Rattus norvegicus: one gene and its partners. The protein of the gene in region 2 purifies or fractionates together with the protein of the main gene of each other region. This does not show direct contact. Links are inferred from orthologs where the notes say so. Each region holds a gene or a part of one and is shown on either strand. Other genes may lie near its edges. The genes, in order: Usp13, Smc3, Rec8, Pds5b, Nipbl, Pds5a and Wapl.

Evidence for each region.
Region 1: the proteins of Smc3 (region 2) and Usp13 purify together in Homo sapiens (affinity purification with mass spectrometry; 4 studies listed by BioGRID and IntAct, with this or other methods). This does not show direct contact. The link is inferred for Rattus norvegicus from reciprocal best matches to the Homo sapiens genes SMC3 and USP13.
Region 3: the proteins of Smc3 (region 2) and Rec8 purify together in Homo sapiens (affinity purification with mass spectrometry; 3 studies listed by BioGRID and IntAct, with this or other methods). This does not show direct contact. The link is inferred for Rattus norvegicus from reciprocal best matches to the Homo sapiens genes SMC3 and REC8.
Region 4: the proteins of Smc3 (region 2) and Pds5b purify together in Homo sapiens (co-immunoprecipitation; 7 studies listed by BioGRID and IntAct, with this or other methods). This does not show direct contact. The link is inferred for Rattus norvegicus from reciprocal best matches to the Homo sapiens genes SMC3 and PDS5B.
Region 5: the proteins of Smc3 (region 2) and Nipbl purify together in Homo sapiens (affinity purification with western blotting; 4 studies listed by BioGRID, with this or other methods). This does not show direct contact. The link is inferred for Rattus norvegicus from reciprocal best matches to the Homo sapiens genes SMC3 and NIPBL.
Region 6: the proteins of Smc3 (region 2) and Pds5a purify together in Homo sapiens (affinity purification with western blotting; 8 studies listed by BioGRID and IntAct, with this or other methods). This does not show direct contact. The link is inferred for Rattus norvegicus from reciprocal best matches to the Homo sapiens genes SMC3 and PDS5A.
Region 7: the proteins of Smc3 (region 2) and Wapl purify together in Homo sapiens (affinity purification with mass spectrometry; 7 studies listed by BioGRID and IntAct, with this or other methods). This does not show direct contact. The link is inferred for Rattus norvegicus from reciprocal best matches to the Homo sapiens genes SMC3 and WAPL.

What each region holds. Positions count from the first base shown.
Region 1 is NC_086020.1:117,546,943-117,550,442, reverse strand, and holds part of Usp13 (ubiquitin carboxyl-terminal hydrolase 13), read right to left. Parts: intron 394-3,500; coding exon 209-393; intron 1-208. UniProt on the Homo sapiens protein: Deubiquitinase that mediates deubiquitination of target proteins such as BECN1, MITF, SKP2 and USP10 and is involved in various processes such as autophagy, endoplasmic reticulum-associated degradation (ERAD), cell cycle progression or DNA damage response.
Region 2 is NC_086019.1:262,605,686-262,609,890, reverse strand, and holds the start of Smc3 (structural maintenance of chromosomes protein 3), read right to left. Parts: upstream 2,801-4,205; 5' UTR 2,679-2,800; coding exon 2,664-2,678; intron 1,744-2,663; coding exon 1,668-1,743; intron 1-1,667. UniProt on the Homo sapiens protein: Central component of cohesin, a complex required for chromosome cohesion during the cell cycle. The cohesin complex may form a large proteinaceous ring within which sister chromatids can be trapped.
Region 3 is NC_086033.1:33,078,604-33,082,617, forward strand, and holds the start of Rec8 (meiotic recombination protein REC8 homolog), read left to right. Parts: upstream 1-1,214; 5' UTR 1,215-1,373; intron 1,374-1,581; 5' UTR 1,582-1,636; coding exon 1,637-1,692; intron 1,693-1,770; coding exon 1,771-1,839; intron 1,840-1,920; coding exon 1,921-2,063; intron 2,064-2,143; coding exon 2,144-2,219; intron 2,220-2,601; coding exon 2,602-2,722; intron 2,723-4,014. UniProt on the Homo sapiens protein: Required during meiosis for separation of sister chromatids and homologous chromosomes.
Region 4 is NC_086030.1:5,089,445-5,093,741, reverse strand, and holds the start of Pds5b (sister chromatid cohesion protein PDS5 homolog B), read right to left. Parts: upstream 2,801-4,297; 5' UTR 2,792-2,800; coding exon 2,684-2,791; intron 1-2,683. UniProt on the Homo sapiens protein: Regulator of sister chromatid cohesion in mitosis which may stabilize cohesin complex association with chromatin. May couple sister chromatid cohesion during mitosis to DNA replication.
Region 5 is NC_086020.1:59,160,778-59,164,277, reverse strand, and holds part of Nipbl (nipped-B-like protein), read left to right. Parts: intron 1-618; coding exon 619-708; intron 709-1,621; coding exon 1,622-1,836; intron 1,837-1,925; coding exon 1,926-2,028; intron 2,029-2,631; coding exon 2,632-2,730; intron 2,731-2,821; coding exon 2,822-2,968; intron 2,969-3,500. UniProt on the Homo sapiens protein: Plays an important role in the loading of the cohesin complex on to DNA. Forms a heterodimeric complex (also known as cohesin loading complex) with MAU2/SCC4 which mediates the loading of the cohesin complex onto chromatin.
Region 6 is NC_086032.1:42,989,833-42,993,332, reverse strand, and holds part of Pds5a (sister chromatid cohesion protein PDS5 homolog A), read right to left. Parts: intron 2,825-3,500; coding exon 2,762-2,824; intron 1,866-2,761; coding exon 1,720-1,865; intron 1,146-1,719; coding exon of another isoform or gene 1,143-1,145; coding exon 1,034-1,142; intron 1-1,033. UniProt on the Homo sapiens protein: Probable regulator of sister chromatid cohesion in mitosis which may stabilize cohesin complex association with chromatin. May couple sister chromatid cohesion during mitosis to DNA replication.
Region 7 is NC_086034.1:10,015,110-10,018,609, reverse strand, and holds part of Wapl (wings apart-like protein homolog), read right to left. Parts: intron 3,279-3,500; 5' UTR 3,257-3,278; coding exon 2,758-3,256; intron 1-2,757. UniProt on the Homo sapiens protein: Regulator of sister chromatid cohesion in mitosis which negatively regulates cohesin association with chromatin. Involved in both sister chromatid cohesion during interphase and sister-chromatid resolution during early stages of mitosis.

The DNA of each region.
Region 1 (3,500 bases), on a different chromosome or scaffold from region 2:
TAGGAGAACAGTTATTTTACTCACGCTTTACTGAAAGCCACCGGGCTAAATGCTTTAGACCCATGAATAACCACAAGAGTAGCACCATCAATGTCCCCAAGACAAGGAATCTCGAGTACTCACACTACAAATAAGAAGAAGCAAAGCCCATTTCTCAGATCTGAGCTGAGACAGCTGTGAGATGCCAGTCATGCAATGGTACACTCACCTGCTCCATCAGGCGTGATGGTGCCCAGCTTCACGGCCAGAGGATAGCCCATGTCTCTGTAATGCTCCAGCGCATGGCCATTGCCCCCCGAGCTGTCAAAAAACCACTTCCCACACAGAACAGAGCCGTCAGTCAGATTCAACCAGAGGTTCTCCCGCAGGTCACATCGGGCACACTTCCAGCCACTAGAAAGTCACCAGAGAACAATCAGGACAGCCAGTACAAAGGGAAACATTGATATGTGAAAACTGAACAGTGTATCCTACTGCTGCACTTCCCCAGTGTTCTTACCCAGGGATATTACTGTTCCCGTCCAGAGCCCAGGACCACCCGGTACCCTTCCTGCTTCCGAGACTGAGCCATAGATCTCCAGTGTGGCTCTTTTAAAATGAAAATTGATGTATGACATGAAGCGCGAGAAAGAGGCCGTGTCCTCCAAACTCCCGCTTGCAGGACAGTGGTTCCTGAATAAGGTACAAAAATGGAGGATCCTATGTGGAAGACATTCCAAAACATCACACATACACGATAAAACTGATGGAGATAACAACTATGCTATAGTCCAACTTGGGCACATCCCAGGAAGAACTGCATGTTAACGCCATGGTCTTCTGCATGGCATTGTGAACCCAGCATGTCTGGAAAGCTCTTACATGGACACAACGCGCCTGTTCAACAGTTGTCTAGATATTTGTGTTTGGGGTTGTAGATTATTGGTACAATCAGCTTTGGCCAATGATGTTTGTCTCTGCAGTGAGCGGCAGGGACCACGGAGAACATCTGGTCAACATCACACTGAGAACAAGAGACCGTAGAACGCTCAGCTATCCCTGCGCTTCTACAAGACTCCTCTAAGGCTCATGAGACTGCAAGAAGAACATGAGATGTGGAGTGTTGTGGAAAACTGTCTTCTGGGTGTGTCACAGCCACTGCTGCACTCCTGAATTCACGGTGCCTGTGACTACAGGATTGGGCCCATTCTATCATGGAGTAGAGAGGCACTCATGAGGCCTGCCCCTCCCTGAAAACTTATAGGCAATTAATAAGCTTGGGGAGGGAAACACCTTCTTCAATGGCATAGTCATTGGTAAGATGCCATTGCTCCTATAAATAACCTGTGCTCCTCTAAGCAGCCCTAACTCAACTCATGGAATCCCCAAAAAGAAAAGCATTAATGTAGAAGGGACTGGTTTGAAAGAGGAAGGTGATCTGCAAGAGTGACAGGGGATGCGAGGGGGTAACAGGAGTGAACGTGAGCAAACGATTACATACATGTATGAAAACATTATAATGGTGCTGGCTACTTCTTATGTCAACTGACACAAGTAAGTGTTGTTCTAGAAGAGGGAACTACAATTGAGAAAATGCCTCCATAAGATTGGCCTGTGGGCAATCAGTTTTCTTGATTGACAGTTGATGTGGGAGGGCCTAACTCACTGTGGATGGTTCAACCCTTGTGGCAAGTAGTCCTGGGTGTATAAGAAACCAGGCTGAGCAAGACATGAGGAGCGAGCCAGTGAGCAGCATTCCTCCACGGTCTCTGCTTCACTTCCTGCCGCCAGGTCTCTGCCCTGCTTGAATTCCTACACTGATTTCCCTGAGGGATAGATTGGTTACCTGGAAATATAAGATGAAATAACCCCTTTCCTCCGTAAGTCGCCTTTGGTCATGGTTCCTTATCACAGAAATAGAAACTAAGTAATACAACAATCAAACATGAGACCTATTATTATGTTCACTGAGTGTACTTTTTATTTTTAAGATTTATTTACTTTTATGTGTACACTGTTTTGCCTGCATGTATGAAAGTGCACTATGTGTGTATCTGGTGCCATTGGGAGACCCCCTGCCCAGAACTGGAGTGAGAGGCAATTTTAAGCTGCCATGTGGATGCTGGGAACCAAACCCAGGTTCTCTGCAAGAGCAGCAAGTGCTCTTACCCACTGAGCCACCCTTGCAGCCCCCACTGGGAAATATTTTAAAAGGGAACATTAGAACTCAGGACCGGCCTTGTCTCTCTTTCCACCCACCATGAGCTAAACAGCCTGTAGCACTGTAGGTCTCCCGCCTGATATGCTGTATCACCACCACCTAAAAACAACGGGGCCAACTAACCGGGACTGGTGCCTCTAAAACCATGAGCCAAGGCTAACTCCCGTTTATGATTTTGACCCATCTCAGGGGTTTGTTATAAAATGACTGACATACCCTACCACACTACAGTTCTAAATTCAGAAAATAAGTGGACCAAACTGCACACTAAATGCCAGTTATGTGTCAAATGACTATCGGAAAGCCCCATCGTGTGATTCTAGCAAATTCTGCTCAGTGTCAGTGTAAACATCCTTCTTCTGTGGAGGTAGAAAATGAGGCCAGCAGTGGTCTGCTTACCCCAAGCTACTGTCTTAGGACAGAAAGTAGAGTGGGCCCACGTCAACGAAACTGGACATATCTCTAAGCGCCCCTTGCTCTTCCTCTGAGACCTAGCTTCTGAGTCCCCGAGAGCATTCTGGTCCCTTGGAGACTGCCCAACATTGTGTCAAGTCTGACCCCCTAGACTGAAGTCAGACCTAGATGTGTGGGAGTTGAGCCCAGCAGAATGGGAAAGACAAATAAGAAATGGAAAAGCCAGCATAGGATATGTCAACAAGCAACCACCATGGACACCTGGCACTCAGGCCTGATGAGGAACTCCAGGGGAGAAGTGTCCCCCAAGGGTTTGATGCACTGGCTCTGCTGCCCGTGTGAGGTTCCAGAAGGACAATGGCTTCAGCTGCCATGTCTGCCCATCCCCTGCACTGCCCAGCAGGTGTTACAGGTAGAACGTCCCTGAGCTGCACCTGTGTGCAAACACCTGGTTTGCTGCAGGACAGCACCTGGGCTTAGGCTGAGGACTGAGAGCACTCAGCACCTGCTGCAAAGGCCAGAAATGTTCAGAGAGAAGGTTTCATCTCTGACTTTTATTTGTTTCTTCACTTTCTTTCTTTTGTAAAATAATTCTTAAAGTTAGCATATAAGATAGTGGGTCTCATTGTGACATTCCACACACATGAATTAGCTCAGTTTGTTCTAGAAAGTCTCCCCCCACAGCCCTTCCTCATGCCCCTTCCTTTCCTTCTGTTTTCATATCATGTGTGCTCCATCGCCTCTGTTTCACTGTCACTACAGATCTCTCCCTGCAGTCACAATCGCCTTTCAAGCATCATGCCCTATACATACACAAATAGACATGTGCATGTGTTTGTGTGCACACACATAAATTTAACTCTAAGTCCACAAATGAGAGGAAACA
Region 2 (4,205 bases):
TCCCCCGCTTTGACCCTCAGGTAAGGCCTCTTCGGGACCCTGAATAACTAGACCCGCTGGACGGGTCAAATAACAACTTTCCATTTATCTCACAATGAAGGATCTCTTTAATAGTACCAGGAAAATTAGCACCAAGAAAGGCACTTTACCTTAGTTAAAACATATTAAAGAATTCTTACTTTCTTCTCAAAAGAAACTATGTTGCAAGCAAAGGGACAGAAACCTTCCTGACCACAGCTAAAACAAAAGTGTTTAACAGACCTTACTGACATGATTCTAGATAACAATCATCACTGCACAGATCACTAGGAAACCAGACACCTGAAATATTAAAGTATTTTCAGCTTAGAAGTAAAAGAAATGCCGTATAATCTAGTCACTATTTCTTTTTCTCCACTAATAGCATTTTCAGACTACAAACATCAGGAAGCACCTACAATGAAATGCAAGAAAACCGGGGTACAGTGGAGTCTTCTGTGGTGCTAACCAATCAGCACTCTTCTGTAGCTAGAGCACAAGGAGAATGCATGTTCTCTCTGCTCCCACAGAGGACTGTAGCCCATGTACCAAAGGCAAAAAAAGCCTAGCCTTACTTACTTAATGTCTAGGCCCTGCCATATGACTAGATTCACCTTCAATTCTGAACTCTCATTCTACGTAGCTGGAGGGGCTAAGTGAGCACTCCTGGCTTCCTTCATCTTAGTCCCGGGTCTCTAACGGCCTTCTGTGACACTGGCATCCTTTTCCCCACAACTGAACCTGCAAGCAGATCTCCCCTATCCTGCAACTGAATTAGATGACAATGCTAGGTGTGGTCATGAGGGTGGGAGCCCTGAGAAAGACATCAGCTGTCAATTGGACAGAAATGAGGCCTCATCAGAAGTCAATCATGCTGGTACCAGAAACCGCAATCCTCCACAACTGCATACGCACTAGAGAGCCTGCTTCTGGCTGGCCTATCAAACTGCAGCTAGGACACTAATGGCAGAACTGTGAATGCCAGACTCTGTTTTCTCATGTCTAGCACTAATTTCATCCATCCTTTAAAATTCGGCAGAATATGGTTTTGTCAGCTGTAACAGCAAAAAACACATTTTTAAACAAAACCCTTAACTAAGTACTGTTAGTGACAACAATCATATACTCTTTTTTTTTCCCTCTCCCACCCAATCATATACTCTTTAATCTCAAATTTTCATATACCTTCTCTTTACCCTTTCCATGGTCTTCTGAGATAGGTACAGGGGTCTGTTAATGTCTATCATAAAAACTCAAACTGGCAAGGGAAAAAGACCACAATTGGCAAATAAGCTATCTTTCAAAGAAAGTAACAGTGAGCGCTTGAACAAGAAAACAGGCAAAAAGCATTTAAAAATACCCTCTCGTAAAAGGTTCTGAAATAAAACACGTAATCGACAGCCTCCACACACGTGCTTAACAAGCCATTTCTACTACCTCACTTACACCACGAGGCCCCAAAATGATTTACCTCCGACTGAATTACCTAAACATTTTATAAATAAGCAATTTGTCTGTGCAGATAAGAGAAGCAGGAAATATCATAGAGGGATATTACTTAACATTCAAAGACAACTCCTGTCTCCTCTGGTCTATCACATCAATCTGCATCAACTCTAAATGCGACGTATTAAACCAAGAACACTTACCAATAACATTATGTTTTGAACTGAAGGGATCTACAATTGTTTGATCTCGGTAACTTCGGAAGCCCTGGATAATCACCTAATAAAGAAGAGACACCCTTGAGATCACAGAAAGCACCTCTATGGCAGCATTCTCTATATTTCTTGCGTCTTGTTCAATGCAAGACAGAAACATTCCAGGCAGCAAAGAACATTTCGCTTGGGAGCAGGCAAGTTAAAAATTTGCTAAAACCTTTCCAACAGTCTGCAACCAGTGTTGCTCTGGGAGAAGCTCTCAGAGTGTACAGAATAAGCTTCAACACTGCACTACTAAAGGTATATAATAGCAAGCAGGCGAGCTAGTCGCAGCCTGCCTTACTCCAAGCCCAGTGAGGGCATCTTTCAGTCAGACCACTTGCCAGGTCAAATGAGTCGACTGAAAAAAATAAACTAAAATTAAAATTAATGAGATAAAATATAAGGAGGTTGGGGTGGAATGCTCAGAGCCTGACACGTCCAATAGAAACCGTCGCCAAGCGTATATACAGGGGCTCATCCCGGAGGTGGCCTCTTGCGCGGGAAGACCATTTTGACAGAAGTAAACAACCGAGTGTGCAGGCGCGACTTGTTCTGCAGCGAGGGGTCCGCCCTTCTGGGGCAAAGCCTGAGGCAAGGGAGAGATAGCCTTCAGCCCAGCCCGTGCCTCGAGGCCACCTCTCTGGGCTGCGGCCCGAGCGTCTAGGCCGCCGTTCCGGACAGCGGCCCGTGCACGCCCATCCCTGCAGAGCGACGCGGCCTGCCGCAGCCCCCCAGGAGAGCGCAGCAGCCCGCGGCGCCCGAGAAGGCCCGGCCTCCGCCTGCAGCCCGCCTGCGCCGGGCCCCGGGCTCCGCTCCACACACCGAGCCCCGAGGGGAAGCTCCCGCTGCAGCCCCGCGCTGGGCCGGCCCGGGCCCCGCTCCTCCCCGTCCAGGCCACCCCGCCTCTCATGGCCCGTGAGTGCGAAGGACACCAGCCCCTACCTGCTTGATGTACATGGCTCCGCGCCCCTCCGCAGGAGGAAAGCTTCACCTCAGAACCGCAACAGCGCGGCGGCAGGGTCAGGAGAGACGCAGACCGGCCCCTCTCACTGGGTTCCGATCGCTCCCGCTCGCTCCCCCTGTGGTCAAATAAAATGGCGGCGGCCGCGGAGGCGGAGCCCGCGCGCCGAAGGAACCACTCTGGAATTGATGTAGATCGCAAGGGGAGTCAGCACTCCAGCCCCGCTCTGTGGCGTCGAAAAGACCACACTCCCGCGGCCCTCTAAGCGGGATTTAACCTCACAATTTATTTTATACTGCCTTGTTGACTGAGAATCAGTTGGGAGCTGGACTCGGAGGAGCCTTGCTCGACAGGCTGGCCTGTACCACCTCCGTACGCCGGGACTATGGTCGCGCCCATGGGGGGCGGGGCCTGCTCGGCGCCAAAGCCTAGAGTGAGACGAGGGGAGCCAATTGCGGAGCGCGCCGGCAGTCACGTGGCCGCCGGTCTGCTTTAAAAGGATGGCCTGTCGGACTTGAACGTAGGTCTGTCTCATTGTGACTGCTTAGGGTTCGCAGCTCCGAACCTCCGCTGCTCCGTTATTCTCTTTATTAGCTTAGAGCGCCTCCTGCTGGTTCTGATACCCCACCCCAGCTCTGAGAGGACTGGAGGATGCTAGAACATTTGAAGGCTTTGTGTTTGATTTAGGGAGGTTGTCTTTATTTCCCCCCCCCCCCCAGGCCAGCTTTCAATCCATGTCGGCCTTGAATTCACCCTGTAGCTAAGGATGACTTAGAACTCCTTACCATCATGTTTCCCTTTGTTAGTGCACGCACCCACCACACCCGGCTTAAAAGTGTTCATGAATATACTGTGAGCCTTTACTGTGTGCCATCTCCAAGTCTAGAAAGGCCTGTACCATTGCCACAAAGAAATTTCTTGAAAAATAGTAGGTACTGCGAGCAGTCCTTAAATGTATAGGATCTTTTAGCCCTGGCTTTTCCTGAAATTTGCTTTGTAGACCAGGCTGGCCTCAAACTCAGGGATCTACCTGCCTCTGGCTCCCCAGTGCTAGAATTAAAGGCCGGCACCACCACACCCAGCTAAGAGTATACTATCAGTGTAGAAGTAGAGTTCTGGGAAACTCTAAAATTGCCTGCTGGGAAAACAAAAACAAAAACAAAAACTAGTCTCGGTCGCCATTCCTGCTGCCTGGACTTAACATGTCTAGGAGGAAGGGTCAAACTTTCCTTATGCCCTCCTAGAAGTCCTTTATCTGAAACTTTGGCCAAATTCCACCCAAAGTTTGAGGGAGAAAAATTATATATATATATATATATATATATATATATATATATATATATATATATATATATATATATATGAAAAAGTTTCAATTGAAAATTTCCTTTTGTGATGCTTTGGAAAAAGGAAATTTTCCTTTTCTGTCAATTTGTGATGCTTTGGGTATATTGTGACCAACGTTCTAAGCCTTCATTCAGTTTCTAGGGATGAGGGCTGGGGTTGTGGCTCAGCTGGCAAAT
Region 3 (4,014 bases), on a different chromosome or scaffold from region 2:
TATTATATATAAGTACACTGTAGCTGTCTTCAGACACACCAGAAGAGGGCATCGGATCTCTTTACAGACGGTTGTGAGCCACCATGTGGTTGCTGGGAATTGAACTCAGGACCTCTGGAAAAGCAGTCAGTGCTCTTAACCACTGAGCCATCTCTCCAGCCCTTTACTTCTGTTTTGTTCTTGGTTTTGTTTGCTTGGTTTTGAAACAGGGTCTCACTGTACTGTTCTGGTTAGCCCGAAGCTCACTGTGTACACCATCATGGCCTCAGACTCACAGGATCTGTGGGACTCTGCCTTCCAAGTTCTTGGATCAAAGGCTGGTTTGTTATTGTTTTTCCCTTTCTTGCAATACTGAGCTGAGCCCAGGGCCTTGCATATACATGCCAGTCAGGCTCTCTACTACTGAGCTACATTTCCACATTTTCAGCCTGGTTTTTACTTTTTATTTATTTATTTTATATAGGATTTCACTAACTCTCCCTAACTGGGCTGTAGACCAGGCTAATCTCAAACTCCAAGAGATCCTCCTGTTGTTGAGATTAAAGGTGTGCATACCACTCCTAGCCTCTGTTTTTGCTTTTTGTTTAGAGCTAGTGTCTAAGTTGCTTAGGCTGGCTTTGAACTTGTCTCCCTTGCAAGTTCCTTGGTTGTTTTCTTTCTTGTTGAATAAAAGGCCACCTCACACTGTTTCTTGCACTTAGCACAGCATAGACCCTTCCTGGGCACAGAATCTGGTTGGTGAAATTTAGGAGTAAGGTCAGGTCCTATGTTCAGGCAAGGTACCTTCCCTTGAATCTCTGTATCTAAGCAGCACCAAGGCATCTGCCCTTTACGTGACCCTGGCTCCTAAAAGATACTATTTTTAGCTGTCACCAGGGTGAGACTGGGTTTCCTCCCCGTTTATTGGTCATCTTACACGTTGGAGAAGTCCTGTTACTACCTGAGAGAATGAGACCCCATTGGCCAGGACAGCTCACAATGCCATGGTAGCGTTCAGAGTTCTTGTGATTGGCTCGCGACTATTCTCCAAGAGCCTATAGCCTGGAACTGAGTTTTGCTGCCTAGCACCAAGAGTCAAAGCTCCCTCCAATGCGGCTTCCCATTGGCTGTGGTGGCGCAAAGCCTTGGAGAGTGTGCACCTAGTCCCGCTGGAGGGCGACCCGACCTAAAGCAAGTTCCAGAAGCTCGACGACGACGACGACGACGACGACGACGTCGACAGCGACAACGGTGGTGGCGGCGGGCGACCTCGAGCTTGAGGAACAAAGGTTTTTTGACAAAGTAAGAACTCAGTCTTGCCTGAAGATCTGTTCTGTGTCTCTGCCTGGGTTTCTCTTGGAGCTTCGCATTTCTACTTGGACGCAATCCTGAAGGTAGGTCCCACTTGCGCGATGTGCAGACCTCAGGGATGGCAGAATGAGGGATCGTCCCTCGCTTCTGCGTCTCTGGTTGTCTCCTAATTCAACTACAATAGTCAGTCGGTCATCTTACTAATTGGGCTTTTTGCATCCACGTCCACCACACCCCCTGTCCAAATTCCTACTCTTCAATGGTGCTGGAAATCCCATGTTCTCAATGAAGAATTTGGATTGAGATCCAAACGGGATTGGTGCCGAGCGAGAACCCCAGAGCGAAGATGTTCTACTATCCCAACGTGCTTCAGCGCCACACAGGCTGCTTCGCCACTATCTGGTGAGCACAGGGCTGATGGCTATACCAGGAGCCCAGTAGTGGGATCCCACCTTGACAAGCCGTTCCCCACCCCTCCAGGCTGGCCGCTACCCGGGGCAGCCGTTTGGTGAAGCGGGAATACCTGAAAGTGAACGTGGTAAAGACCTGGTAAGATCCAGAAAAGAGGGCGGAATGGGGTTTGGGGTTACTTTGAGTGTTGCACTGACCAAGGGCTTCTTGTTCTCCCAGCGAGGAAATCCTCAATTATGTGCTCGTACGAGTGCAACCTCCGATGCCTGGGCTGCCCCGCCCCCGCTTCTCCCTCTATCTCTCCGCCCAGCTTCAGATTGGTGTGATAAGGGTCTACTTTCAACAGTGCCAGTACCTTGTGGGTAAGGCTAGAGACTCTAGAGGCGGGCTAGAGCCGAAGGGCCCGTGGCTGGGTTGTTTATTTTACTGTTCTCACCCACAGAAGACATCCAGCATATCCTAGAGCACCTACACCGGGCCCAGCTGCGGATTCGCATTGATATGGAGGAGGCTGACTTGTGAGGCCCTGGAACTGAGGCCATCCATACTAAGCTGCCTGGCCTCAGCCTTGTTTTGTTTTAAACATTTGCCTGGACATGCATGCAGTGTGTGTGTGTGTGTGTGTGTGTGTGTGTGTGTGTGTGTGTGTGTGTGTAGGGGGGGGTTAGGTAGAAGAGGGGGAGAGGGGGAAGGGGGGGGACGGAGAGCTCAAACAGCATTGTATAGCATTGTATGCATGTGGAGGTCAGAGGACAACAGATAAAGTGGGTTCTCTTCCTTATGTTAGTTCAAACTCGGGGATGAAATTCAGGACTTTGGGTTTAGTGGCAGCACCTTTACCAGCTGAGCCACCCCACCCACCCTCAGCCTAGGTCTTTTCCATCCCTTGTTCTCTCCCAGACCTAGCTTGCTTCTTCCCAATTGCCTGGCCATGATGGAGACGCTGGAGGACGCCCCAGAACCCTTTTTTGGGACGATGTCTGTGGACCCTACACTTCCCAGTCCTTTTGATATTCCTCAGGTAAGGTTCACTCCCCTAGAACCCCTCAGAAATCACTAGACAACAGCAGAGGAGTTAGTTGGTGTCCCTGTCCATCTGGAGCTGAGACTGAGGGTTGGGACACTGCCTCGGGTTTCCATTAACAGGCTATGGAGCCCCAGCTCTTGCTTACTTAGGGCCAACCTGATAGGCTGGTTTCCCACATGAGGCGTTCTTCCCCCTCTACTGTTTGCACCGAGACCTGGCTCTCAGGCTTCAGCTGGGCATGTTGGGTTTTCTTCCCTGTCTTTTGGCATCTCCCACAGCTTAGATGTTACTCCTGCCCCCGTTTCCCAGCTAAGCAGCTGGTTCTGAATGCAGAGAGGATCAGCATCCAAGGACCCTCGGTACTTAGATTTAGGGGTGCTCATCCCCATTCTGGTCTCTTCTCTAGGCACCTTCCCTCTCAAACACCAGCCCATTGCACATGTCCCAACGGTGCCACCTTTATTCTTTTGCTTGTGAAAATGAGCATCCTAACCCTTTAAGAGTGGCCACTCATTCTCTGCTAGTCAGGTCCTACCAAGTCCTTCCAGACTTTGCTCAAGTGCCACCCTTTTCCAGGAAATCATTATCCCACTTAAAGCCAAAAGCAAATGACGCTTGGAATCTCAACACTCTACTAAGTCTGCTTCATCCTTTTCTTTTTTTGTCTTTTTTTTTTTTTTTTCCTGGAGCTGAGGACCAAACCCAGGGCCTTATGCTTGCTAGGCAAGCATTCTACTACTGAGCTAAATCCCCAACCCCTGCTTCATCCTTTTCATTGATCTATTGGAACTGTACACAAATTTGTCCCCACCACCAGCTACCCAACAATCTTTTCTCTTTGTCGCTGTCCACGACAACACAAATTGACGAGGCTAATTTGGGGATGAGCTTAAGGCTGGGACAGGAGGGACACTAGGTGGTGGTGGCCTCTGACATACTGTTGTCAAATGGCACAGACATCTGATTTAGGTCTGGAGGTATAGTCCGCTGGTAGAGAATTTGCTTAACATGCACGAGGCCTTAGGTTTGATTCCCAGTTCTGAAGGAGAACACACACACGCACACACAATCACACACACAGATACACCACACACATACACACTCATACCGAATATGGTAATGTAAGCTAAAATAAGAATTCAAGAATTGGGCTGGAGAGATGGCTCAGTGGTTAAGAGCACTGACTGCTCTTCCAGGGGTCCTGAGTTCAATTCCCAGCAACCACATGGTGGCTCATAGCCATCTGTAATGGGATCCGATGCCCTCTTCTGGTGTGTCTGAAGACA
Region 4 (4,297 bases), on a different chromosome or scaffold from region 2:
TGCCATAGCAACAATATATCTTTTAGCCATTAAACCGCTCCAGATGTGATTTTTCTATTTCAGCCTCCCTAAAAGACCATATAAACAGATTCAAGAAAAACTGCTGGGACCGAGAGATGGGTCAGCATTCAGAGCATGCGCTTCTCTTCCAGACGTCCCAAGTTCAGCTGCCAGCACCCAGATCAGGTAGCTCACAATCACTTGTGACTCCTTTGTCCTCTGGGGACACTGAATTTGCATGCTCATACCAAGCAAAAAGACATAATTGAAAAATAAAAATAAACCTATTTTTTAAAGGATGTCAAAGATGTGTTCTTAAAGAAAAATGCAACCTTCAGTTACCATGACATAAGTTAAGTGTCACAGTCACACACTAAGCATGTTATAGGCCACAGTAAAAGGAAATAAGATATGGGTATTTCATTGGTTCAGCGAGATAATCCAGGTATGTGTTAAGCAGACACAGGTTGCACGAAACAGATCTGTCTTCACAATTATTTTTATAAAAGGGGGATGCAAAAAAAAATTATATAGTTTAAATTCTATGAAGTTTTCTCTAAGGTTAATATCAGTAGAAATGGTTTTCTCCAACTATCCTTACTTCAAATAAAATTCAACAAAATGATCTCTATTCTTTATTTAAGTGAGAATCAAGAAAACTGTCAAACCTGAGAGAACACGAGTTTCGACCTCACTCTGACGAAAGGTAACCATACAGTATCCACTAGGTGGCGCTGCACATGCTAACCTCTCAACAGGGCTACTGAGCATCATGGCCTGTGGCTTCTGACTTACCAGAGGCCTGTAGCTCTAAGTGAGAAATGCTGTATTCCCTAGGATCTCCCGGAGCAGCCATGGGAGACAATGCTGTTCAGAGAACAACCCTCTGCTCTGCCATGCCTGATACCAAATCCAACAGAGCCAACACAAAGTGAGAGGACCCAGATCTAGGCCTGCTGTCCTGACACTTCCACTGCAACACTCTCAAGACATTAGCTCTCAGCACCTCTGCGCCATGAAAGTCACAAGGGCAAATAGAGAGAAAGGTCCACAGAACTAGTTATTTTCCTTATAATCTCTTTATGCAAGAGTGGGAAATGAAGTCTATTTTGAATAAAATGTTATAGGAAAACCCAGAAATTATAGGATAACCTGTATGTTAACAAATTGTCATAATTCATAAAACTTACATGAGTAAATAGCAAAAAGCATCATCATCCCCGACTCACTCTACTTTCTCTTCTTCTGAAGCTAAGACTGCACTGGCCAGCTTGCTGCTGGACACACGATCGGACAGTAATAGAGGGTACACAACACTGAATATGAAGACAATGAAACCATCAAATCTGCTCCAGACCCAGATAACAGGAACTTTTCACTATTGTGTATTCAAACAGTATGGTAAATCACTAAAACTATCACTAATCCCAGTGCTCAGAAGGCTTAGGCTAGATTATAAATTCGAAGGCAGTGTGGGCTACATATGGAGGTCCAGAGCAGCCTAGGCTCCACATCAACACCTGCCTTAAGTCGGGGTACAGAGAACCCCCGATTATAATTCAGACGAGGCATCTAACTTAAAGAGATCTAACAGTATGCATAAAGATACTAAATGTCAATCAGCTTGTGTGTGCATGCTCTGTCTTCACAGCGTTCCCCATAAACATGATAGACAGCATGGCCTACCACTCCTGGGGTAAACCTGAGGGAAGAAATACATTAGTTCCATAAAATTCAACAGATCAAGAAAATGTAGACATACTTAGAAAAGTATGCGTCCCTTACACATGCATACATGATACCGCAACCTTACATATTACTGTTCTGTAAGGCTCCCAGACTTTAGTGATGAAGACAAGTTTTCCCAACACTGACAATCACATAAGTAACAGCAGATCAGTAGACATTACAAAATGTACATGTGACCCACTAGTGAGTATTATTTTTAATATGTAAAACATTTTGCATCAGTTGAAAGAAATGAAAAAATTGTAACAAATGTCTAGTTAACACACCAGACACAGACACAGACACAGACACAGACACACACACACACACACACACACACGTGTCCACACAGAAGGAAAATTTTGCTTAAATAGAACAATAATCCTGAGTAACAAATCTGTTGTTTTGTACCTTGTCTGTTACTGGTACTTAAACATTTGAGCTGTCACAGGGACCCCTAATGCCCTGAAGAAAAAGGTGAGACACAATCTAGAGACCCCTGTCATGGAGAATGTCTCCTGTAAGCTTTACTGCCCATCTTGGTTTATTACAGTGTGCCAGAAGCAGAGACAGACACTAACAGTCACGCTCTCTTACCCTAAAAATAACCTACCAGAAGGTAACCTATAGCCTAGGACTCCTATAAATACTTCAAACTTCCTTTCCCAGACCTGAAGATTTGATGGAGGAGGGGTAGTGGGCATCAAATGTGAAGAAAGCACAAATAACTTGGTAATAGACAGAACAAAAATATCATGGGACATGTGCTAATCACTCTCCAAAGAGCAGTAGGATCCACTGTTCCTTACTGCCCTGTTCCCACAGCTCTCTCTGCCATTTGCTACTTTAAAAGAAATCCCTAACAAAGCAAGCTCCATGGCCCTCCATGAAGATCCCCACCAGAAAGGGCTACAACCTACTGCCCAGCAATCTGAAGCACACAATGTCCACTCACCTTTAGCCGCCTCACCATCTCCTCTTTAGAGATTTTATCTGAGATCTCCTTGACACCAGGAGGGTAAGTAATTTTGCCATCGTTGGTTCTTGTCTTTGAATGAGCCATGATGGAAATGTCTGTACCCCTAAAGGAAGAAAATTATTAGGTACAAACTAAAAGCAAGCATGTTCTATAATAAATGTAACAGATAAGATGTTACCGAACGATCTGTATCCGCCTCATAATTTAGAACAATTTGGACATCTACTGCTAAGTATTCTACTGAACATTTCCCAAAATTACTGAGGCAAACAAACTGACTTCTTATTTCATTAGTAGCAAGCTGTGTAGTTTGCAATAATTCTCCCCAACAAAACACACAACAATAAACAAATAAACAAACAAATGTTCAAAGTAGGGGCAGGAACAAGGGTAAATCTGATCAAAACAAGTTACATGAAATTCTCAAAGAATTAACATAAGTATACTTATTTAATAAAAAAAATAAAGTGCCATAAATGATTCAGAAAAAAAATCTAGGGGAAAAAAAATCCCAACACTCCACAGAATTAAAGCAAACGCTACAGTATTCTATCCATCTTATCTCTGATGTGATCTGCCAACAGGACAAAAACAGTATTCAGTTTCAGTGCTCACGTGTGACAAGAGGGACAGAATATTTATACCCATCAAAAACTTAAATAAAAGACAACTCTGAAAATCTGTAAAGAGTAATTATAAAAAACAAATGGTTGGACATGCAGAACAGCAGCCAATAAAAGCTGGAGAGACAAGTTCATTTGCATACAGCAAAGATATCAGAATTCGGACAAAAGAAATCATCCAGGGCACAACCAGAGAAACACAGAACTAAATACGTGAGGAGGGGGTCTATCTTGAGACCCACAGACGACTGAGCAGGCCACACAAATGCACATATCATAAGACAGCAATCACAGATTCAAGAAGCCAAAGACAATAAATTCAAAATTACAGGAATAATTCAAGAAAACTTCAACATACGCAGCACATCATATTTATATACGTGCATGCGTGAGTGTGTGTGCGTGTCTGTGTGTGCATGCATGCGTGCAGGGTTCCTGGGTCCACTTCTTTGTGTGTGCTCAAGAGAAACAAGCAAACATGTCTCACGTAAGACATTCACAAGCATTGAGAACAAACGCAAGTGTCTATCAAGCACAGTAAACTGGTATATTAATACAACTGTGGAGTCAACCAACAATCACTTCAAACAATAACACAGATTAGCACTGGAGTTAATGGAAGTACACGCCTCTATAAAAATTCTACACCATACAGAGAAAGCTCTACAACGTTAAAACAGTAGTCAAGTTAGAAAATACATGTAAAACACTTATCTGATAGGTGACTTGTAGAACTCTGATACATAAAATACAATCATAAAGTGTCAAAAGAAATGAACAGATGTTTGGAGAATACACAAGCAACAGGTAAGTGCATGAGAAGATTCAGCAGCACTGTCTGTAAGAACACAAACTCAACCTCAAGGTCTCATTACACACTGTACAAATGCCTGGAATAAAATGACACTACAGCAGGCAAGACTGTGAAAAAGCAAATTGGCACGGATCACTGGCTGCATAGAAGCAG
Region 5 (3,500 bases), on a different chromosome or scaffold from region 2:
TAAATTTCCAGAGCCCACAAATACACTCCCTTTCTTCACCTTAATTTTTATTTCCATAGTAATTATAAAACCGCCTGAACTGTATAGTGCATGTCAGTATAGCTGTTAACATTTCTCATTTACTAGATTAAACTTTTGGTGTATATTCACAATGTATAAAATAAACAATGAGTTCAAAACAGTGCTTCATTATGTGGGTCCTGTCTCAGGAAAAAAGGTGATTTTTTTTTAAATGTAAATTCCGTACCAGGGCCAGGGTAGAACATACTTGTGATCATCTTTACATCCGCCACTTGCAGACTTTAAAGCTAGTGTAGTTCACACAGCCAGGCTCAGGCAGCAGGTTCTGTTTCTCAGAACCCAGGCTTTTTACTCCTTACAATAGCTACACTTGTGTTTTGCTCATTTCTCCCCATCGGGTATGGATTTACGTTTACATAGCCTGTTAAAGCATGCCAGCAGATCTGTGCTTATCAATCTGTAATTCCGTCTTTTGGAAGGCTAGGGCAGAGGTTCACAAATTGGAAGGCAGACATAGTGGAGCACATCTCAGAAGTGGGCGGGGCCAGTAACAAATGCGCCGCCGGTGACTTTGTGGCTGCTGCTGTTGTGCTTTAGGTGTCTGGAGGAGAAGATGAAATCCAGCAGCTGCAGAAGGCATTGCTTGATTATTTGGATGAGAACACTGAGACTGACCCTTCACTGGTGGTGAGATTCATGTTGCCTTTAACTTAAATTGTGTTCTAAAAGTGAAATGGGGAAAGAGAAAATTAAATATTTGGAAATCTTTTTATGCATTTTTTTTTGTTTGGTTGGTTGGTTTTGGTTTGCTTTTGGATTCTCAAGACAAGGTTTCTCTGTGTAGCCCTGACTGTCCAGGAACTCACTTTGTAGACCAGGCTGAACTCAGAGTTCTGCCTGTCTCCGCCTTCTAAATACTAGGATTAAAGGCATGTACCACCACCATATGGCTTATAGATTATCTCTAAATCTAAGCCAATCTTAAAAATGAGTATAGGTCACTCAGTGTTGAAGGTGATCCATGAGCACATACAAAGAAGCTGTTAAATCCATATATGTGTGTATATGCAATTCTTCGAAAATTAAGTGACATATCCAGAATACACTAGGCCATGTATACAATTTGTCCATTTTGTAGGCCTGACGTAAAGTTGATAAATACTCCACATAATCTGTAGACTTAGATACACAGAAGTGCTTCAGTGCTGACCTGTTTTAATGTGCCAATATTGTACAGATGAGAGTTGAAAACAGTTGGGGGTCTTTTACCTTCACTATTTTACTCATTTGTCCTAAGCTTTCCCACTGGCCTTCCCACCAAATCTTACTGAGTCATGTGACTGTCTACCTCAAGTAGTTGATAGTAGTACTCTATCTATATTTGATACAATCATTTTTATTGAGTTAGTTTTATAGTTAAATGTTAAAAAGGAAAAAAATTCTGTAATACAGGCTATTTCAGAATTTTATCTGGAATTATCTTTTAAATCTGCTTCTGTCTGATAGAGGTTGTTTTAAAGAAAACTACAGTACTTCTATTCCTGATTGATTAGAAATGGTATTAATTTCATCAACTCAAACTTATCTAATGTCTTTCCAGTTTTCTCGTAAATTCTATATAGCCCAGTGGTTCCGTGACACAACTCTGGAAACAGAAAAAGCAATGAAATCACAAAAAGATGAAGAATCATCTGATGGGGCGCATCATGCAAAAGAAATTGAGACAACTGGTCAGATAATGCATCGAGCCGAGAGCCGGAAAAGGTTTCTGAGAAGCATTATCAAAACCACACCTTCTCAGTTCAGCACATTAAAGTAAGATGCAGGGAAAATGGGTCAGAGATATATGAAGCATAGATGTCCATTTAAAAGAACATATCCAGTTACAGTGCTCTCTGTTGTAGGATGAACTCTGATACTGTGGACTATGATGATGCGTGCTTGATTGTTCGATATTTGGCCTCTATGAGGCCGTTTGCCCAGAGCTTTGATATTTATTTGACACAGGTAATTGATTGATCTGATTGATTTTTACTTTATTTTGGTTACTTTTGGAGATGGTGGACTAGGTGTGACCTTTTTTTGAGGGTAGTGTCAATGGGCTGTGGAAGCAGCATTTGTCTCTGTTCCTCATTCACATGGTTTTAGCTATGTCTGCCCTCTGCATACTGACTTTGTACAAACAAATGGACATGTGTTTGTATGCCACTATGAAAATCAATGTTTATCAAGTCATAGCGAATAATACTGTCTTTAATAAAAGTTACACATAAGATTTTAGTGAAGCTCATACACATAAATGTGTATGTATGTTTAGTTGAGAATACTGAAATAAAGGAAAAAACGAAAATATAGAATACCTTTCTATGTGTACTGGTCTAACTTAAGATTTTGGACCAGTAAGATGATAGTTTCTCTCTCTCTCTCTCTCTCTCTCTCTCTCTCTCTCTCTCTCTCTCTCTCTTTGTCTCTCTCTCTCACACACACACACACACACACTCACACAGAGGAGTAAGTAGTATATTTGGTTCTTTTATGTATTTTCATGCTGTATTGTGTTAAATTTTACTTATTTTAAAATTTATGAGCATGTTAATGTTTGCCTGGCAGATACTACGAGTTCTCGGTGAAAATGCAATTGCCGTTCGAACAAAAGCCATGAAGTGTTTGTCTGAGGTTGTTGCTGTAGACCCCAGTATTCTAGCAAGGGTAATAATAAAAATAGTCTATTTTACTTTTCTATTTATATTTGAAGATCATCTCCGCTGCTATAAATGTCATTTCTCTCCCTCTTCTTTAGCTTGACATGCAGCGCGGAGTTCATGGGCGATTAATGGATAACTCCACTAGTGTTCGAGAGGCAGCCGTGGAATTACTAGGTCGATTTGTCCTTTGTCGACCTCAGCTTGCTGAGCAGTATTATGATATGCTGATTGAAAGAATATTGGTATGCTTCTTCTATAGTAGTTTATGAATACGTAATTTACCTTAAATGTCACACCTTATTTATCTTAAATTTAACCTAAAATTGATAATTTAATCTAAAATGTATAAATGTGAATTATTTATATTATTTAATCTGTGAACTGTAGCACCACTCTAAAAAAGGTTATGCTTTGAAGAGGCAAACTCAGTATTATAAAGCCCAGTGTTGGTTAAAGTCAGATCCATTTTTCAATTATTCTTATACCAGTTTATAATCACTAATTAATAGTAATTTTGTATGATAACTGTTTTGATCAAGACCCTAGAGTAGTTATATTGACTTTGCAGTGTGTGTATGTATCTGTCTGTCTACAAATTGCTTCCACAGCAGGCACCCCACCCACTTTAAACATATTGATTTTTTTATAGAAGTATACAGTATGTTCTGTAGTGCTGCAGTGACAAATTTTGTCATTGCCGTTAGTGTGGTACAGGAGTAGTTTGTAAAAGGTTTACTTGACTTAGCGTAAGCACTTGTTCTCTACATCACAGAT
Region 6 (3,500 bases), on a different chromosome or scaffold from region 2:
CTCTGTACTGCGGGAATTATGGGAGTGAGATAGCCCTGACTTTTGTCCAGTGATCTGTTGTCTCGAGCCATTCCTGCTTGCAGTGGGAGTGGAAGAAGAGCTGCTTCTCATTAAACAAGTGACTGTGGAGTTAGTGAAGCCAGACCATCTAAATCAGCCTCGAGTCCTCCAGTGGCAGAGCACATCCCGAAACAAGTCTGACTGCCTGGCTACTGTTCCGATTCACTTCTCTCCTCTTCAAACACTGCTAAGGAAATGGGGGAGGGGCTCGAAGAGATAGCTTAGGGTTTACGAGTATTTGTTACTCTTGCAAACCATGTGAGTGAGAATCCAGTTCCAGAGGATCTGATACCCTTTCCTGAACACTGTGGGCACTTGTCACACGTGCTACAGTGACATATGCAGTAAAACAATCATACACATAAAATAAGATCAAATCTTTTAAAAAAGGAAGAAGTAGAACAGGGAGGTGAGGATTAACGCTTTTGCAGAGGACTCAAGTTCATTCCTAGCACCCACATGGCAGCTCACGACTGTAAATTCAAGCCCTCGGGGATCCAAATTGTTCTCCTGGCTTCCACAAAAACTGCAAGTCATTCGTACATACATACTAAGTAGCACACAATAGCTGGATGGATGTAGAGTGAGTGAGTGAACTGGGTGCTCCAGTTTGAATATCATGGTAGAACATGTCATGGTTACCCCAGTTATTTGGGAGGTGTGGCAGGAGGACCACAAGTTCAAAGCTCCCTCTCCCCACAGGAAGCCTAAGGAATAAGATGAATCAGATGATAAGCAGGAAAGACCTCATCTAATGGCAAACATCTGTAGCCCTGAGTGGGGAAGTGGAGACAGGTGAGTAGGCGCAGGGCCAGCTGAGCAGCACAAGCAAGGACTCCTGAACATTATCCGCTGCCATGGAGGAAAGGAACGTGGATTCTCTGAAATACCAGTCAGTACGCAGTTGCCGAGCCATTTCTCCAGCCCTGCCTTGTGGAAACCTCAGCACTATAAACAAAGGAATAACATTTACCTTATTCTTTACCGTATCAATACTCTTTACAGGTGTGACAGAAATTATTCTCACAGGATTCTCCTCATTTTCACTAACTCCAGTTTCTGATGCCTCTGAACTCTGTTCCCTACTAGAAAAACAGACAAATAAACAAACAAACAAAAAACCAAAGTCTTTTCAATTCAGAAATGAAATAATCAATTTTATTCATTGATTGGTCATATTAACTATACCCACTTGCCTGGGAGACCTCATTGGTGTTCTAGAATTTATTTTTCGGGGTGTGCTATATAATGTGGTATTCAGGTTTATAATTCCAGTATTCCAGGGGCTGAAGCAAGAGGTCTGCAACAAGTTTGCAGCACACAGCCTGACCATGTAAAAAGGCGCTGGCTCAGAAAGCGCTCTTTAAACAAGGTGTGAGGAAACGCACCTTTAACGCCAGCACCTGGGAAGCAGATGCAGCGGCAGCTGAGTCTGAGGAAAACCCAGCTTACATTATCGAGTTTCAGGCTAAGCAGAGTTACATGATGAGACCCTGTCTCAGAAAACACACAGTACACTTTTGAGTCTCATTAAAAAACCCTAAACACATGAATATTATAATTTTACATAAATCCATTATATGATCCAATGCCTTGAACGTAAACGTTAAGCCAAGCAGGAGCAAGAAAAGAAAATGTATTCAGAGAAAAATAAATTGCCTTGAACGATTTCCGGCCGAAGGACTCAGCTCTGAACTGGCGTTAATATTGCTTCCAGTCTCTGTGCCGGCACTCCTAACATAAGGCTTCCTTCCCGTTGCTGATAAGGGCTTGTTTACTGTACCTAGTACTCCAGTAGGCTTTGGCTGGAAAAAAAAGAAAGAAGAAAGAAAAATCATACCTATGTCATTTCACACCCGAGGGAAAGGAATATGTAAAAATTTAGAGCGCCTAAGACATGTGCTTTAGTGTTAAGGTAAGAGTAGTAATTCTGTTGGGAGTGTTATCAGAATTCTGGAAAAAAAAAAAAGTTTGGCTCTTTTAATATAAGCAAAAGCAAATCCACTACCTTCACTTAGTATGAGGCAATATTTGATATCTTTCCTTTTTATCTCTTATTTCTTAATTGAAACAACGCACATGCCTCCAAAACTTGTGTACGGATGCACGCAGACTTAGACTTGTGAATATACACTTTTACATCACCTGACTTTTATGAAATACAATCTTCCTATCATCTTAGCCTTTCATATCAGTCTCTCTTTATTTTCTTTTTCTTATTTACTTATTTTTTTTTGGTTCTTTTTTTCGGAGCTGGGGACCGAACCCAGGGCCTTGCGCTTCCTAGGCAAGCGCTCTACCACTGAGCTAAATAAATCCCCAACCCCTTATTTATTTTTTTAAAGACAGGGTTTCTTCATGCAGCCCTGGCTGTTCCAGAACTAAATCTGTTGGCGTTGAAATGACAGACAAATCTACATCCTGAGTACCGGGAGTAAACTCATGAGCCAACAACGCCTTTCTTATCTTCTTATTGTTCTATTATTTATAGAAATCTGTCCTACGAATTTTAAGTAAATTTGAGCTTTTCACCACTTTTAAGAGTAAGTGGCAATGCAATGGCTCTGAACAGTGGTTAATTGCAAAACAGGTCTGAGAATATTCAGACTGTAGCAATGCACACTGCGTGCCCACAAGCCTGGGGGCAGAGAAAAGAAATACAGCCCACGAAACAAAACCCCAAGCAGAAAACATACAGTACCTTTCCTGTCAACAGAAGAACTCTTGTCTCTTCCGAAATATAGCTTTTGTCATTAGAGAAGTCCTATTAAAAAGAAGAAAGAAAGAACAAAACCAAGCAAACTGAGCACTGTCATCACCTCAGCGTTGTCAGGCCCTGCCTTGCAACAGCAACGCACTCTGCTCACACATGGTACGACGACCTGGACAAAGGCAGGAGGTGTATTTTCAAGTCCATAGTGAGCACTACTGCACCAGAGAACTGCACACACTTGGCAAGAAATTTGCTGTGACCCAGTGACATAATATCCTCCACCTTTCAACATTTTAATTCTTTAGTTTGCTGGTCTTGAGACATGGCAGTCCTAAGATTTAATGTGGTGCCTTTAACGTGCTGGGAATAAAGGAATGGGGTTCCACAACCAGCAACACATATTTTATTTTTATGTTTATGAGCATTTTGCCTGCATCTGCGTTGAATGCACCATGTGTTTACTGTGCCTGTGAAAATCACTTGTAGCGTTTTAAATAAACTTCATTCCTAGTTTTTGATATTGTTCAAAGTATGATTACCACCTCTAATATTATAAAATCTACTTTACAGCTGATAAAATAGACAGTATTTATTCGTTGACGCCTTAAATTTGTAGTTTTGAGGCAGTCTCCTATAGACCAACTGTAGGGTTTCAGAAACTTCTGCCAGGCTTATCCTTCTGCCAGGCTAATCCTAGGCACTTATATTCATTAAACACCTCCATAAT
Region 7 (3,500 bases), on a different chromosome or scaffold from region 2:
AGGTGTTCAGGCTTTACCCCTAGACTAGCTGACTAGTTAAACCATTCTGGTTTATTATGACTTCACTTCGAATTTCCTCTTCAAGTTAACCATAATCTTTAAAAGTACTACCCATTAAGAAGTATTTAAAACAAAAAAGTGTAATTTCGAAAAAGAAATCACAATTCTCTACTGATGAAAAGATGAACTTAATGTGAATTATTAGAAAAAAACTGATAAAACTCTTTTAAGTTTGGATAAGCTTTTCTTATTGGTGTGAAATAATTCAACTACAGAAAAGAGTGAACAAATATCTCACTGAAAAGATACTATGGAACTTAATTTAAACCTGCACACTTTGAACAAGTACATCTACATACTTTGAACAAGTTGTTGATAAAAACAAATTAAGTTTTCTGAGTAAAATTAAAGAACTGACAATATGACAAAAATGCAAAATCAGGAAATCCCAAAAGTTTAGGTGAAATGGCAAAAGAAAATCTATAAAGCTCAAAAGCATTCTGTTACAGAGCCAACTTCTAAATACATGAACTTATACATGGTTTATAAAAATAACTGACTTATACACACTTTTAAGTTAACACTATTACAAAAATTAAAGACACTTCAAGTTTGCTTCCTACCCTATAAGAGTTGCCAGAGTTTGCAAGCTTCAGAAAGTCAAGGGAAAATACACAAACTCATTCTGTGGCATAAGTCCCTTACCACTAAGTGTGCATTTATAACAAGGGAAGCAAAACTAGATTTTTTTTCTAGAATACCTGTTTATCTTTATTTTTGTATGTATTTTCTCCTCAAACTTTATTATAATGGAGTCTGGAATCAGGGTCAACCCAACTACAGGCATCATCAGAACTACAATCCAGCTACACTGGAATGTGAAGCTATTTTATTCCACAGATTACTGCATTTCTAGCAACTTCCAACAGCAATTTGAACAAATGTAAAAACACACTACCGGGGTTGGGGATTTAGCTCAGTGGTAGAGCGCTTGCCTACCAAGCAAGGCCCTGGGTTCAGTCCCCAGCTCCAAAAAAAACAAAACAAAACAAAACAAAAGCAAAAAAAAACACACTACCACCATAGAAACATAATTAGATACCTCCTACAAATACTCCTATTCCTCTTATAAAACATTTTTTCCCTCGACCCTCTGCCACCAGGCCCCATTCTCCCTTGATCCTCCACAAGGACGTTAACAAACTTGCACCTTTAGTCTTCTACAGGCTACCTACCTCCTGTGTAGGACAACTATCTGGAATCAGCAAGAAACGACAATTAAACACTACAATCAGATAGTAGGCTCAACAACATCTGAACAACCAAGAAACCTCATTCAGTGGCTAAGTGCACTGGCTGCTCTTGCAGAGGACCTAGCTCAATTCCTAGACCCTACATCGTAGTTCCTAACTGTTTGTAACTCCAGTCCCAGGGGAATCAGATGCCCTCTTCCAACCTTGGTGGCCAGCAAGCATACATATGGTGTGTGTATATATATATATATATATATATATATATATATATATATATATATATATATATATATATGCATGCAGACTTATAAAAAAAATAAATCTAAAAGTAATTGAAAAAAAACCTCATTCTAATTTTGCCACTAGCTGATCTTAGAAAGTTACCTAATCTCTCCAAACTTTACAAAGTGAGCAGAGTTGAGTAAAAAATTCATTTGCACTCAGAAATTGTATCTTTATGATAAATTTTAGAAGCTGATCTGGAAACAATGTTAGGCTTCTTTTGATTTGTTTTCTTATGAAAATCTAGCTTAAGGTAAGAACAATGCTTTAGGAGAAATATGAACAAAGCAACAACCAAAATGATTATTAGCCCAGAGGATCAAGAGGACGACAACAAAAGCTAGCTCACTCACCCAAAGGTTGAGAAAATTAGAAAAAAAGCTCAGCACTTTTAGCAAAGCAATGCAAGTCACACTCCCTATCCTACTTGATGTGTTATTTACATTAAGACTACAACAAATTCCTTGTAGACAGTCAATAAACTCACAGTATTATAAAAAACACTATCCAACAAATCAATGTATAAAGACTGTTCCCAAAATAATACCAAGTAACAAGTCTCTAAGATGTTTGAATTAAAATTTAAATCTGATTGAGCTCTGAAAAGTTTTAAGTGCTTTATAAGGGGACCGGAGAAATAGTTTAGCATTTAAGAGCACTGACTTCTCTTCCAAAGGACCCAGGTTCAGTTCCCAGCTCCCACATGGTGTCTAACTTCAGTAGCTCCTAGCTTCTAAAGGAAGCAGGCATGCACAGTGCACATTTATGCAGGAGACATACACACACATTAAACAAACTTATCAATATCTCCTACTAATCATAAATGCAGGGAGGAAAAAAAAAAAAAAACAAATGGCAACCACGCACATCCTTTGTGGGGGGGTGGGGTCCAAGACAGAGCTTCTCTACATAACAGTCCTAGCAGTCCAGGGGTCTGAACTCCAAAATAAGCCTGCCTCTGCCTCCCAAGAGCTGGAATTAGAAGAGCGCACCACCGCAACTCAGCAACCACTTGGGCCTTTTAAGGTGCTAATGAAACAGCTCAGTAGGGGTGCTAGAAATGCAAACCGGACAACCTCCATTTATTTATCTCTAGAATCCATGTAGACATGGAAAAAAACTATACAAAGTTGTCCTTTTCTTTCCAAACACATGCATGCACACAAGTAATAAATTAGAATTTCAGTATCACATAAATGGCTTTAAATACATCAAAACTTACCTGAAGTTATCAACTTAGTACAACTACTTTTGTTTGCATTGTCTTCTGGAATTCTATTTGTGTTCTTTTCTTTCCCAATTAAAGAATCCTCCACAAGTAAGCATCTATCAGAAGCAAAACTGTCTTCACCCACCGCATGACTACATTTGCTATTAGCTTCAAGTACTGAAGTGACTTCTTCCAGCTGAACAGCTTCACTGGATTCTGAGTAAGAGGAACCCTTACCCTGGGCTAAACTTTTTGAAGAAACAGGTAGAGACTCATCATCACTATCAAAACCAAAAGGATCTCCAGTATCTTCTTCTTCTACTTTAGGTTTCTTCGGAATTTCTTGAATATCTGGTTTGAAATTGGGCCTCTTCTGCCCTAATTTAGCCATAAATGTGGTCTCTCCCCATTTTGTACTAAGAGTAGTCCGTTTGTTGGAAAAAACTTCATCAAATTTTGAACTGCCATTTCCTCCTTTCCTACTGTAAGTTTTCCCAAATCTGGATGTCATTTTGACACCTGTTTCATATTCCCTGTAGAAAGAATTTTGAGAAAATATAATTAGCAAATTTTTAACAAGTTTTAAGCATTCTATAAAAAATAAGATCCTAGGACTTCCTTATATAGTTTTCAACATTCAGCACGCAAACTTTTTAAACTAGTTTAAATAAATGAGCTGAAGAGGTTAATTTTCCATTCTTTACTTCCATACATCAGGTTTGGTAGTGTTTTGGCTTGCTTTTACAATAAGAACA